Linked DNA regions of Saccharomyces cerevisiae S288C. The main gene of each other region encodes a partner of the protein of the gene in region 3 in a complex. Each region holds a gene or a part of one and is shown on either strand. Other genes may lie near its edges. A codon is read from its position in the direction of its gene.

The links.
Region 1: the proteins of RXT2 (region 3) and RXT3 are in contact, whole or in part, in a cryo-EM structure (PDB 8GA8), measured with the Saccharomyces cerevisiae proteins. Residues at the interface, in NP_009653.2 of Saccharomyces cerevisiae: Tyr54 (codon at 1,634), Ser62 (codon at 1,610), Asn63 (codon at 1,607), Arg64 (codon at 1,604), Gly65 (codon at 1,601), Lys67 (codon at 1,595), Leu68 (codon at 1,592), Ser72 (codon at 1,580), Glu73 (codon at 1,577), Val74 (codon at 1,574), Val75 (codon at 1,571), Thr76 (codon at 1,568), Arg77 (codon at 1,565); in NP_010207.1 of Saccharomyces cerevisiae: Pro125 (codon at 2,430), Leu127 (codon at 2,436), Pro128 (codon at 2,439), Ala129 (codon at 2,442), Arg161 (codon at 2,538), Asn162 (codon at 2,541), Glu164 (codon at 2,547), Trp166 (codon at 2,553), Ser172 (codon at 2,571), Asp173 (codon at 2,574), Asp174 (codon at 2,577), Tyr239 (codon at 2,772), Arg250 (codon at 2,805), Trp252 (codon at 2,811), Ala256 (codon at 2,823), Thr257 (codon at 2,826), Val258 (codon at 2,829), Ile259 (codon at 2,832), His260 (codon at 2,835), Asp261 (codon at 2,838), Gly262 (codon at 2,841).
Region 2: RXT2 (region 3) and SDS3 share a complex: the UniProt entries of both Saccharomyces cerevisiae proteins name them as parts of the RPD3C(L) complex.
Region 4: the proteins of RXT2 (region 3) and SIN3 are in contact, whole or in part, in a cryo-EM structure (PDB 8HPO), measured with the Saccharomyces cerevisiae proteins. Residues at the interface, in NP_009653.2 of Saccharomyces cerevisiae: Glu22 (codon at 1,730), Ile25 (codon at 1,721), Ile26 (codon at 1,718), Ser27 (codon at 1,715), Thr28 (codon at 1,712), Phe29 (codon at 1,709), Thr30 (codon at 1,706), Arg31 (codon at 1,703), Arg32 (codon at 1,700), Ile33 (codon at 1,697), Ile34 (codon at 1,694), Lys35 (codon at 1,691), Lys37 (codon at 1,685), Ser38 (codon at 1,682), Tyr41 (codon at 1,673), Pro55 (codon at 1,631), Glu56 (codon at 1,628), Thr58 (codon at 1,622), Gly59 (codon at 1,619), Ile60 (codon at 1,616), Leu69 (codon at 1,589), Arg77 (codon at 1,565), Arg78 (codon at 1,562), Met86 (codon at 1,538), Glu88 (codon at 1,532), Tyr93 (codon at 1,517), Asn94 (codon at 1,514), Arg99 (codon at 1,499), Leu101 (codon at 1,493), Gln102 (codon at 1,490); in NP_014639.1 of Saccharomyces cerevisiae: Pro650 (codon at 3,240), Thr653 (codon at 3,231), Glu654 (codon at 3,228), Ile656 (codon at 3,222), Asn658 (codon at 3,216), Asn659 (codon at 3,213), Ile660 (codon at 3,210), Ser661 (codon at 3,207), Leu662 (codon at 3,204), Glu665 (codon at 3,195), Phe669 (codon at 3,183), Tyr682 (codon at 3,144), Leu686 (codon at 3,132), Leu689 (codon at 3,123), Asn690 (codon at 3,120), Tyr692 (codon at 3,114), Ser693 (codon at 3,111), Asp695 (codon at 3,105), Leu702 (codon at 3,084), Phe720 (codon at 3,030), Phe723 (codon at 3,021), Val724 (codon at 3,018), Arg742 (codon at 2,964), Trp788 (codon at 2,826), His798 (codon at 2,796), Arg799 (codon at 2,793), Lys800 (codon at 2,790), Gln802 (codon at 2,784), Glu805 (codon at 2,775), Thr806 (codon at 2,772).

The regions. Positions count from the first base shown.
Region 1 is NC_001136.10:320,168-323,609, reverse strand, and holds RXT3 (Rxt3p), read left to right. Parts: upstream 1-2,057; coding exon 2,058-2,942; downstream 2,943-3,442. Other genes in the region: 60S ribosomal protein eL31 RPL31A, read right to left, coding at 622-906, 1,328-1,384. UniProt on the Saccharomyces cerevisiae protein: Component of the RPD3C(L) histone deacetylase complex (HDAC) responsible for the deacetylation of lysine residues on the N-terminal part of the core histones (H2A, H2B, H3 and H4).
Region 2 is NC_001141.2:201,710-205,200, reverse strand, and holds SDS3 (Sds3p), read left to right. Parts: upstream 1-1,941; coding exon 1,942-2,925; downstream 2,926-3,491. Other genes in the region: phosphopantothenate--cysteine ligase CAB2, read left to right, coding at 548-1,645; KTR7 (putative mannosyltransferase), read left to right, coding at 3,158-3,491. UniProt on the Saccharomyces cerevisiae protein: Component of the RPD3C(L) histone deacetylase complex (HDAC) responsible for the deacetylation of lysine residues on the N-terminal part of the core histones (H2A, H2B, H3 and H4).
Region 3 is NC_001134.8:433,906-437,258, forward strand, and holds RXT2 (Rxt2p), read right to left. Parts: upstream 1,794-3,353; coding exon 501-1,793; downstream 1-500. Other genes in the region: PBY1 (putative tubulin tyrosine ligase), read left to right, coding at 1-392; YBR096W (uncharacterized protein), read left to right, coding at 2,116-2,808; ubiquitin-binding serine/threonine protein kinase VPS15, read left to right, coding at 3,046-3,353. UniProt on the Saccharomyces cerevisiae protein: Component of the RPD3C(L) histone deacetylase complex (HDAC) responsible for the deacetylation of lysine residues on the N-terminal part of the core histones (H2A, H2B, H3 and H4).
Region 4 is NC_001147.6:315,027-322,124, reverse strand, and holds SIN3 (transcriptional regulator SIN3), read right to left. Parts: upstream 5,188-7,098; coding exon 577-5,187; downstream 1-576. Other genes in the region: palmitoyltransferase PFA4, read left to right, coding at 1-267; DNA-directed RNA polymerase II core subunit RPB11, read left to right, coding at 5,950-6,312; TOP1 (DNA topoisomerase 1), read left to right, coding at 6,738-7,098. UniProt on the Saccharomyces cerevisiae protein: Catalytic component of the RPD3 histone deacetylase complexes RPD3C(L) and RPD3C(S) responsible for the deacetylation of lysine residues on the N-terminal part of the core histones (H2A, H2B, H3 and H4).

The DNA.
Region 1 (3,442 bases), on a different chromosome or scaffold from region 3:
AACTGGAAAGGACAAGAATAGATTTATAAACGGGTGATAAGATTAATGGTATAGTGAGTTCACTCTGCCGATAGTTCTTGTCATTTCTTTAGCTTCTTGCTGCTCTATGTTTTGCTGAAAGCGAATGAATTATGGACTTTTAATGATGAAGATTTTAATTTTCCGTTGGTCTATTAAGAACAGAAGTACTTCAAAACTACTTTTTAAGACCATCCTTTTACAGTATTTTTTCAATATTGTAAAACTTCTCATTTACTTTGTGTCTTTATGATCTCATCGTTCTGGTGGACCATAATCAGACGCACGGTATACTTCGTTTCTGTTGGAGAATATTGGGAGTCTTTTAATGTGATGAGTGGCCAACATAACCTTATAGTCATAGTTACACTGATTTATCCATTTTTATCGCCTTCACTTATACGTAGACTTGCATCTTTTAAATAATTCGAAGGTAACCCTTTGTACAAGCGTAGCAGATGATATCATTGATAAAAATTGATCTGAGTGCCCCGCTTCAATGAATACAGAAGTCTTGGCTTGAGTACAAGAGATTTATACAAATCGAAAATGTTTACTTTATATTTATTAATATAAAATGAGTATTATTTTTATTTAATTGATTTAAGCATCTTCTTCGACAACAACAGTTTGTAGACCCTTGGCAGAAGCAACTAAGACAGGTTCAACGTAGGAGAACAATGGGTTCTTGGCGTCTTCTTCTTCGTTTCTCTTTCTGGAAATTCTCAATCTTAATCTGTATTCAACACCCTTGACACCTCTCTTCCAGATAGCTTGGTTCAATTCTGGAGCTAGACGGACATCATCAGTACCCATGTGTAACTTGGCGAACTTCTTAATTTCCTTGACAGCTCTTGGAGCTCTCTTCTTGAAGGAGACACCGTGCAACTATTAAAAATAAAATGGTAAATTTTTTGTTAGTAACGATTGTTCATTTTAATATTAGTGTAATCTTGATGAATGGTTTTGTATATTGGAGACCCAATTTGTTCTGATTCATATTTAGTCAAACTTGGGATATGGATAATTGTCGACTTAAAATCTAGGATTCCACTATTTAAGATAACTATTTCTGTCTTCATCGCTCTTTAAGTCCAGCCGAAGTGTATCTTTCCCCTCTTGGATGTTATAATATTGATTATGGTCTTCAAATTCCGTATTATAAAATATATCTTGATCAATGATCTTTGTTGATAGGTTTCTGTGGTACAAATTCTTGATATTGTATTCCTTGACTATAGAAATATCTTCTTAATTAACCATTCAGATGACAAGCCCTTGGGCATTATATTTTTATTCTTTCACATACTCTTTTGTGCAAGTTAATGGTGTATTCACGAGTGACAACGTCTTTCAAACCGGCCATTTTTCCTTTGATTGAGTTCTGTTTGCTTATTAATTCTTTCTTTAAAACTTGAATGAAATTATCACTAGTTATAAAATCTTCAATATAATTCAATACTATCTTTCAAGCTATGAGATTCAACCCGCCTAATGCGAGCATGAGTAAAGTCAAGCTATGTCTGCCTGCGCAGTTGGGAGAACGAAAATGCCAGAAAGAAAAGCCGCAAACCTGAACGGAGCTTTCCCATCCTCCGCCTGCGCAAGAATGATCCACCATCGAGAGAAAGCCTTTCTGGGCTCTCCCACTTCCTTCCGTTGCAAAACTGTCGCCTAGCGTTTCAAAACTGTCCACGAAGGCAGATTGTCCAAAAAAAAAAGCACCACAAATCATTTCTCAATTTCAGAATACAAAGGTATGGGGGTAAAAATAAAGATTGGTGTACGGAGGTAAAGGTATGAAAATATTGTGAATAATGGAAAAAGGGCCCAGAAGGGGAGAGGTTCGGGAAAACAAAATATAGTATCAGCACTTCATGAATGTAGAACACAAGAATAAGCATCTCCATTCCGGCATCAAGTGCTATAGAATTCCATGACAGCGTTTTGACAAATAACGGTATTTTAGTACGAAGGTAAGGGAAAATTTACTCGCAGTTTTTTTTTTGAGAGAAGTAACAATACAATATAAGATAAAAATGTCGGTAAGCGAACAAGATCCTAATAGGGCGTACAGAGAGACTCAATCCCAGATATATAAACTACAGGAAACACTACTAAATTCGGCGAGAACAAAAAATAAGCAAGAGGAGGGACAAGAAAGCAACACCCATTCTTTTCCAGAGCAGTATATGCATTACCAAAACGGCAGAAATTCGGCCTACGACCTGCCTAATGTAAGTTCACAGTCGGTTCTTGCTTTCACTGAGAAACACTATCCAAACAAGTTAAAAAACTTGGGTACACTTTATTACAATCGTTTCAAAGAAGGGTCTTTTGATGAAGACTCCACAAGTTACTCAGACAGGCACAGTTTTCCATACAACCTTTATGACAACACTCTTCCACCACCGTTCCTTCCAGCTATCGGTATTCAAAATATCAATAATATTGCAACGCTAAAAATAACATATGAAGATATTCAGGCAAGTTTCAATAATATAGAATCTCCTAGAAAGAGAAATAATGAGATATGGGGATGTGATATCTATTCTGATGACTCAGACCCAATACTAGTTTTAAGACATTGCGGGTTCAAAATTGGAGCGCCTTCTGGTGGCTCATTTCACAAATTGAGAAGAACCCCTGTAAATGTAACTAATCAAGATAATGTTACAGGTAACCTTCCCCTACTGGAAGGCACACCTTTTGATCTAGAGGTGGAGTTGTTGTTTTTGCCTACTCTACAAAAGTATCCTAGCGTAAAAAGATTTGATATAACATCGCGGGAATGGGGATCGGAAGCCACCGTTATACACGATGGACTGAGTTACGGTATCTATAGTATTGTCATTAAGCAAAGACTAGATAGAGATAAACCTCATGAACCAAACGGGTATATTAAAAATTTAAAATGGACCTAAGGAAAGACATAATATTGGTCGTCCTTCTTTCCCTTCCAACCTTAGTTGGCGCCATGTGTGTATTTAATTTAATTCAAAATATCATTCTGCTGCGCTACTTCTGTATTATTGCTTTGAGGAATATACGATGCGTTGTACTATATAACAAAAGCTTCACTTTATAAGTTTCTATAACTGGATAGTTTGGTTGTCTCACTCTCCTGCAAATTCATACTCTTCTTCCATACATTAACATGCCGTCCTAGGTGCTTGCTTTTTTAATTAGACTGGTTATAATATGTGTAACTAAGCCATTTTCGGGGCCCTCAGATTATATTAATTCCGAATCGGTAGTAAACGATATTTTATGAAAAGGACCCCAGGGCGCCAAACAAAACGTGGACTGTGACAAACTCTGCCAAAAGTCAAGCTCTAATCGTGTAAATCTTACCAATTGAGAGCGATTCCTGTAATTAGGTTTACGGCTGTTCAATTATCTTTTCAACCGGACGGGTCTTATA
Region 2 (3,491 bases), on a different chromosome or scaffold from region 3:
ACGTATACCAGTGCTACAAACCCTGTTAACAATTAAATTCTTATTACTTCTTGCACAAAGATGCTAACACTTTACAGCTTTGAAAGTAACAGGAAGAAGTGATGCTGTGACAATTAACAGGGTATTTTTTTTTTCACTTCTACTTAAATCGGAGTTACAATTTATGATAAAAAAATCAAGAAAAAAACCTGATTATGCTAAGAAAGTAGAGGCGACGATGACCACCTATGGCCTAACCTAACTATGAACAGATGGTAGGCTCTAAATTGCGTGCCTGAAATCTGCGGATTTGATATGTAGGCGATGTTTTGGGTATTTTCCACCAACTTTATTGGCAAGGGAAGAATTCGATGACCCGAATTCGCCAAACGACAAAAACTGGAGGAGTGACCTATTGTTAACGTTTTTTTTTTTTTTTTAAAGGCATTGTCATCAACAGGACATCTGTATAAGAGGCTAAGACAATTACGCACACAACGCTTTTATTAGTTGTCATAAACTGTGTAGATTAGCAGCAGACACTCCTTTTTTTCTTCATACTATAGCAATGCCACCTCTACCCGTGCTCAACAGACCTCAAATTCATACGTCTGTTACTGAAATAAGTCATGCAATTGATCGTACAATCAAGGAAGAGCTCTTTCCCGTTGCCTACACTACTGAAGAAGAGCAATATTTCAAAACTAACCCTAAACCTGCCTATATCGATGAATTGATTAAGGACGCTAAAGAGTTTATTGATTTGCAGTATTCCCTGAAAAGGAACAAAATAGTTCTTATCACCTCTGGTGGTACTACTGTTCCATTGGAAAACAATACAGTACGTTTTATCGATAATTTTTCTGCAGGTACTCGTGGTGCATCGAGTGCTGAACAGTTCTTAGCGAACGGATATAGTGTTATTTTCTTACATAGGGAATTCTCATTAACTCCGTATAATAGGTCCTTCTCCCATAGCATTAATACTTTATTCTTGGACTACATTGATTCTGAAGGTAAAATCAAACCTGAATTTGCTGAGAATGTTTTGAAGAACAAAAAGCTTTATGACAAGTATATGGAGAAAGAGGAGAAACTACTTTTACTACCATTCACCACGGTCAACCAATACTTATGGTCACTGAAAAGTATAGCCAAGCTATTGAATAATAGTGGTTGCTTGTTTTATTTAGCTGCTGCTGTCAGTGATTTTTTTGTTCCATATTCAAGACTACCTCAGCACAAGATTCAATCAGGAGACAACGGTAAGATGGGAGCAAATAATGACACTGAAGGTACAACTAGGACTACGCCTGATGGTAAACTGATTGTGAATCTTGACCCTGTCCCTAAGTTTTTGAGAAGATTAGTGGAATCATGGGCCACTCAAGCGATGATCGTTTCGTTCAAATTAGAAACTGATGAATCCATGCTGCTTTACAAATGTACACAAGCCCTGGATAGATACAACCATCAACTGGTTATCGGAAACCTTTTACAGACAAGAAACAAACAGGTCATTTTCGTATCCCCTGAAAACAGAAAGGGAGATTGGGTACGTTTGGATGAAAAACACCATAGCATTGAAGAGATGATAATCCCAGAAGTCATCGCACGCCATGACAAATGGGTGGCGCATTCGAAAACTAAGCTAGCTACGAAATAAAACATAGCTCTTGTCTGTAATCAAAAAAATTTGCGTCAAAAAAAAAAATTAGATGTATGTAAACCTTTTTATTGAACTGAAAATTTATCTTTTATCAAATCTTTTTCTTCTATGCCTTAATTATGTTTTCAGGTATCTTTTTTCTCATTATTTAATTTAGCTTATGTATTGATCATTTCGCTTGAGATTTCAGGAAGAAAAAACGCAAACAATTTTTCAGCTAAAATGAACCCTTGGAAAAGCTTTAAGAGAACAAGAGAAACTGTAGAGCTCAGTGTGCATTGTCTTCAAGATTGATGGCTATTCAAAAGGTTAGTAACAAGGACTTGTCCCGCAAGGACAAAAGAAGATTTAATATCGAATCTAAAGTTAATAAGATTTATCAAAATTTTTACTCAGAAAGAGATAATCAATATAAAGATAGACTGACAGCATTGCAAACGGATTTAACTTCTCTGCATCAAGGTGATAATGGCCAATATGCCCGCCAAGTACGAGATTTGGAGGAAGAAAGAGATCTAGAGTTAGTCAGGTTGCGCCTGTTTGAAGAGTACCGTGTTTCTCGTTCCGGTATCGAATTTCAAGAAGATATTGAAAAGGCTAAGGCTGAACACGAGAAACTCATTAAATTATGCAAAGAAAGACTGTATTCGTCTATAGAGCAAAAAATAAAGAAATTACAGGAGGAGAGGTTACTAATGGATGTGGCCAATGTGCACTCCTATGCCATGAATTATAGCAGACCGCAATACCAGAAGAACACGAGAAGTCACACAGTAAGTGGTTGGGATTCTTCGTCCAACGAATATGGAAGAGATACAGCAAACGAAAGTGCTACTGACACGGGAGCTGGAAACGATAGAAGAACGCTAAGGAGAAGGAATGCTTCTAAAGACACGAGAGGTAACAACAACAATCAAGATGAATCTGATTTTCAAACTGGTAATGGTTCTGGAAGTAATGGCCATGGTTCTAGACAAGGGTCGCAATTCCCCCATTTCAACAACCTAACCTACAAGTCAGGCATGAACTCTGACTCAGATTTTCTACAAGGTATAAATGAAGGTACTGATCTATATGCATTTTTGTTTGGCGAAAAGAACCCCAAAGACAATGCTAATGGGAATGAAAAGAAAAAAAACCGTGGTGCTCAACGATATTCCACCAAAACAGCTCCACCTTTACAGTCTTTGAAACCAGATGAGGTCACAGAGGATATTTCCTTGATCAGAGAATTAACAGGTCAGCCTCCGGCTCCTTTCAGACTAAGGTCTGACTAATTTATTTTATGCTGCAAACCTTCCACTTTAACTTTGTATTATATTACATTAGATGGTTATATTTCAATGTGAGCTCTTTTTGTTTTTGCTTTCTTTTCTCGGATACAAGTGGAAAACGAAAAAAAAAAATTGGCTAAAATTTACTGTATACATCAGGCTAACAATCTGTGATTATAGGCACAGTTGTACCAAAGAAGGGCTAGAATATACATCATAATTAGATGCAATTAGCATGGCTATAAGATTGAATCCAAAAGTCAGAAGGTTCTTGCTGGATAAGTGTCGACAAAAACGATATGGTTTCCTCTTTTTAGGATGTATCTTCGCCATACTTTACTGTATGGGGACCTGGCCATTTTTCGCAAAAGATATTGTACATGATCCAAATAATTTGCCTTATTCCTTACAGGATTATTCGACTGACAAAGACGAGCCATTTTTCCGGGGCTGCACTGATACAAAGCTGTACTTGCAAAATCCTGCTTACTCCAAAATGAACGCATCTTTCGTTATGCTAACGAGAAACGAAGAAATAGAAGACGTACTGAAAACTATGAGAAGTATAG
Region 3 (3,353 bases):
ATTCTTCTGTTTTGGAGTTTGACTCCATAGAGGAAATTCCAAATGAGAGAAAGTCCAATATTAAGGAGCAAATCCATAGCATAACGAACGACGTTTTCTTAGCTGCTGTAAATGTAAATAGATTAAACTTCCAACCGTTACCAAACGCATTTGAAACATATGGCGTAGACTTTTTGATTGATTCGAATTACGAAGTTAAATTACTAGAGATCAACGCTTTCCCAGACTTCAAACAAACTGGGAAAGATTTGAAGAACCTCATTGATGAATTATTTGATGACACTGTCAAATACTGTGTTACCCCCATCTTTAACGAGAATAGAAATAAGACAGATGATGAAACAGACCCGAACTTCGTAAAAGTCATTGATTACACTTCAAACGGTTGGTGAAACAAAAAAAAAAAAAGAACCCATCCTAAAATACTGTTATTATTACTAAATAGTGCTAAATAATACATATGCCTTGATTTTATTTCCGAAATTTTTTGTTTTGTCAATTTAGGCTCTATTAGCTTCTTCATCAGGTTCATTATCGTCTACAACACCGTCTTCCATGGTATTTTCAATTTCTTCCTCAAAATTTGTTGTCTTATTTGTTGTAGCACTGATCAGACCTCTCTTCACAACACGTAGAGCCACCGGGATAGTAATATCATCGTCAGATATACCCAAATATTCCCGACTCCAATTTAAAATCCTACCTCTTATTCTATTGGCTTTTATTACAGACTTTCTGATTTTTTGTAAGTTTCTTATGAATTCTTTATTCCTCTGTAGTGCAATCTGCGACAGCTGTCGGGCAGACTCAATTTCCTCATTTAACTGTTGTTGTTCGGCCGCTGTTAATGTTGATATAGAAGCAGAACCGGAAGAAGATGGCAGCAACGATAACAGCGCATTAGATTGTTCCAACCTTGGCAATGCAAAAAAAGGATCTTCCTCTCCAAATTCTTCCATGCCATTATTGATATGACCAGCTTCAGTAGACAAACTATTCGAGTTAACCTCGTTGATATTGTTTTTGTTGTTAATGTCATCCTCGTCGCTTGCCCCTCTATCCTCTGGAAGGGTCAAATTGTGATTATAAGATGGTAGGTTCAAGTTAGATTCATAAATTGGTTCAGGATGATCTCCTAAAAAAACCTCCAAAAACTGGGAATATCTAACAACTGACATCTGTTCTTTTTCAATCATTAGAATTATTTGCAAGGCTAAATTTTTCAAAATTGGGCTTGAAAATGTCCTTGAGATAGTTTTATGATTTATTATATCCCCTAGGGAAAGAATGGGAGTCAAAATCTCCTTTACATTCACTAGTTTTGATAGGTCGTCATCGTCTTCTTCGCCGTAATACTCATCAGTGATATTTTCGTCTTCCTTCTCACTACCATCGATGTCGTTTTCATCACCGACTAAAACAGGCTCGACGTTGATGTCAGGTGTGAATTTTATTCTTTTGCGTCTACTATCAGTGACAATATTTGTTTGCAGAAGGCGATGCTCCGAACCGTTATAGAACACAGTTTGCTCAATCATTGGCTTAGAATTGTTCAAGTCTCTTCTTGTTACTACTTCGCTTCTCTGCAAAAGTTTGTTACCTCTGTTAGAGGATATGCCAGTGGCCTCAGGATAGATTAGTTTTCCATCAAGGGATCTTTTCAGTACCTGATAGTTACCGCTTTTTTCCTTTATTATCCTTCTAGTAAATGTGCTAATTATATTCGATTCATTAGCTAACACACTCTTGCTTTCCAATTCTGCGTTGTTTTTCATACTGCTCCTAATAGTCATCTCGATCAACAAGAAGCAACAGCTGAGATATTTGTTTCTCAACCTCTTTTTTGCAGGAGATGCTGTCATCAAGCAACGTTTCTTCTATTTGAAAGCGATTGTTTTACCAGAACAAAGTTCGCTACCCGGCTTCGGTCCTCTTGGGTATAGGAGACAATAATGATCTTCGAATAACGCCGTTATAAAGTGAACATTATAATTATCCGCTTAAAGGCTTTTTAGTAATTTTGTAAAACAATTGCTTCTAATTTCAAGACTTCCAAAAGGTTTCTCGAGTAACTAGTGCTTTCCAATATCTACAACAAAATAAAATAATAGAATAATGGGTGTTTGCACTATTTTTAGGTGGCTCTTTGCTGCTTACTTGCTCTCTTCATATAAGTCGCTTCCTGGGGCATATTTTGTTAGGTTTTATTATTATGTTATTCAAAACTTGTTCTTGCCTATGTTTACAGGGTTTGAAACCGAGAATATTAAGAAACTTGAGAAAAATGAATATGGCTGTTTCTCGTACACCAGCCTAGATACCTATGCCTCTCCATTCGAATGTGACTTCTACTTTCATAAGAGCAATAGCACCTATTTTGCGGAATTGGACATTTCAAGAGGTAATCTCATGTGCAAGATTTTTCAAAAATTGATGCTGAATTCCAAGCATTATCCATATATTCCAGTTGCGAACGTTTTCACTAATTTCTTGAAGGAAATCAAGCCTTTTCAAAAGTACTCGGTTTCATCAAGGATTATCTGTTGGGATGAGAAATGGATTTACGTCATGAGTAGATTCACAATTAAAAAGGGCACCGTCTTATGCTCATTATCATTGACCAAATACGTCCTTAAGGACGGTAGAAAGACCATCAAACCAAAGGATGCTCTTGAATACTGTGGTTTATATAATGAGAAGGTCGCCAAAATTTCTGAGGACAATCTAAAGCTTTTAACCGAGCGTTGTGGTTTCCACGAGACAGTACCATTGGAAAACTTGAGCCAAGAGTACTGTTCAGAAATCTAACTTCTATACACATATAGCCGGTATTATAAAATATATAAATCTATCTTCTTTCAAAAGTTTCTCTGTGCAGTCTGCGTTATATTTTATCTTCGGTAGAAAACAAGGTAAATTTCCCTTATTTTTCAACATCATAAAAATGAAAAACAGATATATCTTAAGTAAGATACTTAAGCAGACAAGTTGAATTGGAGAAATACAAAAGCTGTAAGGTTATCAAAAAGGAAGGCATACAGTATAATGGGGGCACAATTATCACTAGTGGTCCAAGCATCACCTTCCATAGCCATTTTTTCATATATCGATGTCTTAGAGGAAGTACACTACGTTTCACAGTTAAACTCATCAAGATTCTTAAAAACATGCAAGGCACTGGACCCTAACGGCGAAATTGTTATCAAAGTGTTTATTAAACCAAAAGACCAATATAGCTTACGACCTTTTCTCCAACGTATAAGGGCTCAATCGTTTAAGTTGGGACAACTACCGCACGTTTTAAACTACAGTAAATTGATCGAGACAAATAGAGCCGGCTACATGATACGGCA
Region 4 (7,098 bases), on a different chromosome or scaffold from region 3:
AATTTTCCAAAAAACGGTATTTCAAAATATGAGGCTAACTCCTCATTGGAAGACCACATCCTTTCACTTCCCTGGCCACCAGATGGAGGTAAAACAAACACCGTCTTCAATCATGGCAGCTCAACAATAGAGATGCGTAATGAAAGTGGCGAACAGCTAATAAGGACCAGACTTCCTCAAAATGGCAGACATGCTTCTCGTGAGAAGTGGTACAACGACTGGGGTGAATCACTAGACGATTTTGGAGTGGATGTTGATATGGAATAGAATACTCATTCATGGGAATATCAAGTATATGTATGTATAAACTGTCCCTTATAAATAGTGTCCTTTCGATTACATACTATGCTAATGACGTGTAAAAAGATTCATGCACCAGTGTATGAGTACACAAATATAACCACTGCATGTTATCACTTCTTCCTTTATGGAAAGATCGATGTGTCTTAAAAAGCTTCAAAAACACTTAGAATTTTAAAATTACAATGTTATATCGTTGACATTAATTAAAGGTACACATCAGAAGAAAGACCCTGTCGTACTAAAGATTTTTGTTCTAAATCTAGTTAAAACTACTTATTGAATCTTAGCCCCCTTGTCTGAAGATTCAGTATTCCCAGTCGTTTCTATATTATCATCTTGTGGTACAGTAGTAATGGATGCAGGCAGTACACTTGCAGTAGAGCTGTCCAAATTATCCGACTGCTCCTGTTTCGTAATTTTACCTTTTTCGGTTTCACTCTCTATTCCCTGGTTTCCAGCACTCGTCTTTGCTATGCTGTCTTTTAGGTTCTCCCATTTTTTTTGCATACTTAATTTTTGAGCCTCATCTAAATTATTTCTCAAACCAACTGCACAGTCTAGAAATTTTGATATCAACTCCTTCTTCTGAGAAACCATTCCTTTTTGAGTATTATCATTAGCAATAGTAGGATATTTGTTAGTAGCCTTACGGGTAAAAACATCGTAAGACCCGTTTTCAATATGCAGTTGGTAGGTTATAGGCTGGATCTTAATTTTCAATGTCGATACAGAGATGCCTTCGGGGGAAAACTCCTCATCTACCTCTGTTCCATCAATATCTTGTCCAAATTCGATGAGCCTTTCCAAAAATGGTATCTTCAGTTTCTCGTGCGGAATGCCTTCTGTTGGATGTGGCAGAGCATACGATGTTACATAATATTTCCATTTATCTTCGTCTGCCTTTGGTTCCTTTAGTGTCAAATCATCAAGTGCAATATATTGAATGGAAACATGCAGAGTTCTTTTATCAAACTCTATTCTAAACATATTTTCTGTGTTGGACATATGTGAGCGCACCTGCAAGCGATAGATAATTTGGTCCTTCGCACTCGTGGTGGAGGCATTTCTATCTTTAACGAACAAAGCCATTATTTCCGCAGTTTTAGCGTCAGTCATCAAGGTATGAGCATGCTTTACCAACGATTGGGTGACTTTATCAATTGTATAGAGTTTAAACGCTTTGTTATTGTAAGCTTGCCGCAAACTCTCTTCAAACCACTGATGTTCAAGATCCCCATTAATCAACCTTCTACTCAGTCTTAAAACCTGTTTGTACGCGTCTTCACCAACAAAATCTAGTCCCATTTCGGAAAGTTGACTCGATAATAAATCTAGATCTTTGGCAAAAGTAACTGTCGACCTTGTGTTGATTTCCTTTGTGACCCTTTCATTCATTTGCTTAATTTCCAAAAGCCGCTCATAAATCGTTGTCCAATGACGGAAAAATATGTAAATATTCGTATTAGCGAATAGATTAAAAATACTGCGATTTTGGATAATACCCTGAGAGTTTGCTTCCTCCACTAAATTCCCAGTTAGCCACGGATTTTTAGCTTCTTCATCGATGAGCTCTTCCTCCTCAATGGTATTAGGTTCTTCTTCGGGTGGTTCAGAGAGCTGGGGAACTTTGCCATCTTCATCATTAGAACGCTTTAGCTTTTGATATCTGCTCCTGTGTAAAATATCAAGTAAACTCATTTCTTGTTGATAGGGCCTCTTCCTTGATGCAATAGAACTGCCATCGTCAGATCCGCTAGATTCTGACACGTTTTGCTTATGGGAGTACAACGATTCTTCGATTTTTTCGAAAGAAATAGAAAAAAACAAAGAGATGAAGTATTTTAGTAAATCTTTCAATCTTTCTTTATCGGGATTAGAATAGGCTGTGGTATGGGTTATAAAAGTGTCAGCCAAACACAAGATATCATAGAAAATGTTTTTATCAGGGAAATCAAAATCTAACTGGCTCTTTGGTTTAGGAGTTAACCAGTGAATTTTTTTGTTTGTTTGATCAACTTTGATGCTGCTAATCTCTGATATCAACTGCTTTGTAGTTAATAATTTCTTGTCAGCCTGTTTAAATGTTAAGCCTAAATGATCTAATGACTTGAAAAAAACCTTCTGTTCTAACTCCCTCCAAACTTTATTCCATTCACGTTGAGCTCTTCTCCATTCTTCGTCTTTTTGCTTTAACCTTTTCAGAACGACTGGGGCTGTCACTGCAGGGTGCTCATGCAAAGCATCAATAATCTCGAACCCCCTTTCCTTATCATAAACTTTCCTTATCACTTTTTTATAAATAGTCATTGAAGTATGGCCAAGACCTGGAGGCAGTTTAAAATTGGCTTTTTCATTCTCAGTCATGTTCTCGATCTTATTTACAATTGTTTCCAAACATTGAATAGTTCTTAAATTTGATTCAATGTAAAAATCATACTCATGTCTTTCCTCTTCGATCTTGAATAGTGTTTCCTCATACTGGTTTTTACGATGAGCAATAAATCCCGAATCTTCGGAAGCCCATACAGGATGTCCAACCCATTCATCGTTCAAGACTTCCCAACACATATCATCCCTACCTGAGCATGGCATGAAAGTGTCACTTTTTGGTAGCCTCTTGTAACTTGGGCCAAATGCCTCACATAAATCTAAATCCAATCTATGTTTTTCATGAACAATATTCTCGATACATTTGGTTTTTTCTTGGTAGCCAACAAAGTTTTTGAACCACGTAAATAGTTCTTTATTGGAACCCAAGTAGAAATCTACCTTTTCCACTAAATCGTCAAGATCAAGTATATCTTGAGAGTACAAATTTAAAATTTTCAAAAACTCAGTGTATAAATGTTTATTGCCGATATACCTCTTGGCCTTTTCGAAGAAAGTGACTTCCTCATTAAGCGATATATTGTTTTCGATGGGCTCAGTGGGTTCAGGGACCACAGGCACAATGCTAGGATCTAAATCAATTTCCGGTCTAACAGGGATATCACCATACTGCGTATTTGCTATAGGACTAATACTTTGCGGGTGCTGCTGCTGATGTTGTATACTAGAAGGAGCGTACTGTTCAGTGAGAGACGTTCTTAGATCTGATAGAGGTGGATTTTCATTCGCTATCCCTTGATGTACCATATTTGGCCCGTGTTGAACGATCGATGGTAAGGGCATGAAGTGGGGTGGTTGCATGTGCTGTTGATCCTGATAGGCTTCATGTACGGTCGAACCGTTTGTTGGAGGCGAGAAGCTTCCTATAGGAGGCAAGTTTTGCTGTGGAATACCTCGGTTAGAAGGATGGCCGTAATAGCCCGAAGCTGGATACAAGAATTGCTGTTGCTGCTTCTGTTGTTCCACCTGTGCCTGTGCCTGAGCCTGAGCTTGTGCCTGTGCATGCATTTGGGCCTCATGTTGTTGTTGAGCATGTTGCTGAGCATGTTGCACCTGCTGATTGGCAGAAGCTGAAGAGTCCGGCAAGAATTTCTTGAAATCTTCTAGTAAATCAGGAGCATTTTGGAAAAGATGCGTCACTTGTGCGTAGACTTCGTTTATTGGCTTTTGCTCTCGCTGATAAGTTTGTAGTATTTCCAGAAAATGCTTGTAAATATCAGGTTGGTCGGCAAATCTAGTTTTAATTTTATTAACGTAGCTTATGGCTTGACTAAATTCGACATCAACGTTTTTCTTAGCATCTTCTTGAGGCACTAAAGATTGACTTTGTGGGATTTGGCGATGTGCAGGCATTTCAGGTTGTTGAATTGAAGGTAAACCAGAAGAAGTAGCTAAAAGAGGCAAAGATTGTTGTTGGTCTTGGTTTTGTTCCGATTGATACACACTCGAAGGCACCATTGGCACATTGGAGGGCTGTTGAACACCATTTCCATCGCTTTCTGGAAAAGAACCAAGTTCCTGTGCATCCGTTGTACCTCTACCAGATGGACTGATGTTATTGTTTACTGTCGTAGTACCCATTGGTGTAGTAACTCTAATGGGGTCGTCCGGATTAGAGGAGCATTCGATTCTATAGCCTTGGGGTAGAAAAGTATTGAACCCTTGAATCAAAATTGGATAACCTCTGAACAAAGTGGATACTCTTTCAATAACGCCCGGTGTGTCTATTGCCTGAGATTTAAAGTCCTTCATAATATCTAAAAATAAATTATAGATATCCGGACGCGAACTAAATTGAAATTTGACCTGTTCGAGGTAAGATAGGGCATCCTTCACGTTTAGAGGTCTGTAGTCAGCATCTTCATCGTGAGAATTTTCGTTGTTATTATTGTCATCGTTAGCATCTGCATGGTTGCTGCTAGGGTCAGGGGCATCAGCAGGCTGCACACCAGCGGGAACTTCCTTGCAATCTTGAGGCCGTTGCGTCGCCTTTTCTTCTTCCTGAAGACCATTATAACTTTTTGGTTCCTCTGTATGAACAGGAGCTTTTATCGGTAATGGATTGTCAAATCTCGACAAAGAAAAACTGGCGGCTCCCACTGTGGGGAGGGGAGCTGGACCAGCATTCATAAGCGAAGCGTTTATAGAGGGAGAAGAGGACGAAGATTTAGGGCGAGGGTGATACTCGTGGGGCTGTTTCAATGCTGAATCAGTTGCAATTGAGGGCATAGCATTTGAATGTGGGGGAGGATAACCTAATATGTGAGCAGCATGAGAAGTTAGAGCCTGTTGGCCATTGGAATCTCTTCTATCTTCCTCCTTAGTACTCAAGGCAGATAGCGAGGGTAAAGTAATCCGTTGCTGCTGTTGAACAAAACCGGGCTTATTTCCCTGGAGGGACGGTTCTTTTTCGTTTCTTTCGTTGGAACCCGTAGCGTCATTTGAAGTAGCCACATCGTTTGATTGCGAATTCGAATTATGCCAAACCTGTGACATTTTTGTACAATGTATAACTTGTTTCTTAGATATTTTGTCCTTTTCCAAATAACCTCAAACGAACACAACAAAAGGGTAAAGAGACTATACTGAAAGCGGTCAATAGCGTAGCCTGTTGTGGAGGGAGGGAAGTAACAAAGAATATGTGGTACGTGAATGAGCTGATTAGTTAGGTACGGTGCCTCGAATATTAGCAATGCTGGTGCGAAAAAGGGAAGACAAATGTAATAGGGAAGGGGAGTAACCGTTGTTTTGCAAATCACGTTTGCTGAAGAACTGCAAAATGAAGGCGACTTTTTTGCGAATGGAAAAAAATCACTAGAAAATCCGATATCATTACCCGTACTGGTTTATTCTACGTTACACGGGTAACCCCGCAGTGTGTGCCACACTCTGGGCAGCGCGTAACAACAGTAGTTACAAGACTGGAGTAGAAGATAGATTTTTTAAATTATAAACAGAATTTACAGACTACTGGAGAGGGATCACGGTAAGCCTCGTCGGTAAGCCTCGTCGGTAAGCCTCGTCGGTAGATCCGTGTCATGTCATGGATAATGCTGCTATCCGAGTTCAAAAAACTTGCAAGCTCAATATTATCATTACCCGGACTTAATAAAGTGGAAGTGTCCGCGAAAATTCTAGGTTCACTGCTTTGGCACACACAAGAGGTCCGTTAAAAGAAGAGCGAGAGAACTGAGCCGTGCAGCCTAAATAGATAGCTACGTAGCCACCAAACCAGATACATTTGGACACAACTGCATCATGAATGCTCCAGACAGATTCGAACTGTTCCTTCTGGGTGAAGGGGAATCCAAGCTAAAGATTGACCCCGACACCAAAGCCCCCAACGCAGTAGTGATAACGTTTGAGAAGGAGGACCACACGTTGGGAAACCTGATTCGTGCAGAACTTCTGAACGACAGAAAAGTGCTGTTTGCCGCTTACAAGGTTGAGCATCCCTTCTTCGCTCGTTTCAAGCTGAGAATACAGACCACCGAGGGCTACGACCCGAAGGATGCCTTGAAAAACGCCTGTAACAGCATCATTAACAAGCTTGGCGCCCTGAAGACAAATTTCGAAACCGAGTGGAACCTGCAAACTCTAGCCGCCGACGACGCATTTTGATATATAGGAGTTTAATACTATAGCCATAAAATCTAAACAGAATGGAAACGGACATACACATAATATACGCTCATATATATTTATACATAACTTCAATGTCTTGAACACGTAAATTTTAGTGTGAGAAACCTTTTTCACTCCGGGTAATACCTGCTGTAGTCTTCAAAAAAAAAAAAAAAAAAGAAAAAAAACCAGCCATGGAAAGCTCTTTATTTTTTTACTTTACGGCTTTTTTCCCTTTTCTTATATGATCGATGCACGTAAAGAACAACTGTATTTTTTTGTTTCAACACTAACACGAGCGCAATATTCTTTTTTGTTTTCTCTGTTACTCTAATTACCTGAGTCCTATTCTTATAGTATTAAAACAGCAAATAAAAAAAATCTAAAGGGAGGGCAGAGCTCGAAACTTGAAACGCGTAAAAATGACTATTGCTGATGCTTCCAAAGTTAATCATGAGTTGTCTTCTGATGACGATGACGATGTGCCATTATCTCAAACTTTAAAAAAAAGAAAGGTGGCGTCCATGAACTCTGCCTCTCTTCAAGACGAAGCGGAACCTTATGATAGTGATGAGGCAATCTCTAAGATTTCCAAGAAAAAGACTAAGAAAATAAAGACCGAACCAGTGCAATCGTCGTCATTACCATCGCCTCCAGCAAAGAAAAGCGCGACATCAAAGCCTAAAAAAATCAAGAAAGAAGATGGTGATGTAAAGGTAAAAACAACTAAAAAGGAAGAACAGGAGAACGAAAAAAAGAAACGAGAAGAAGAAGAAGAGGAGG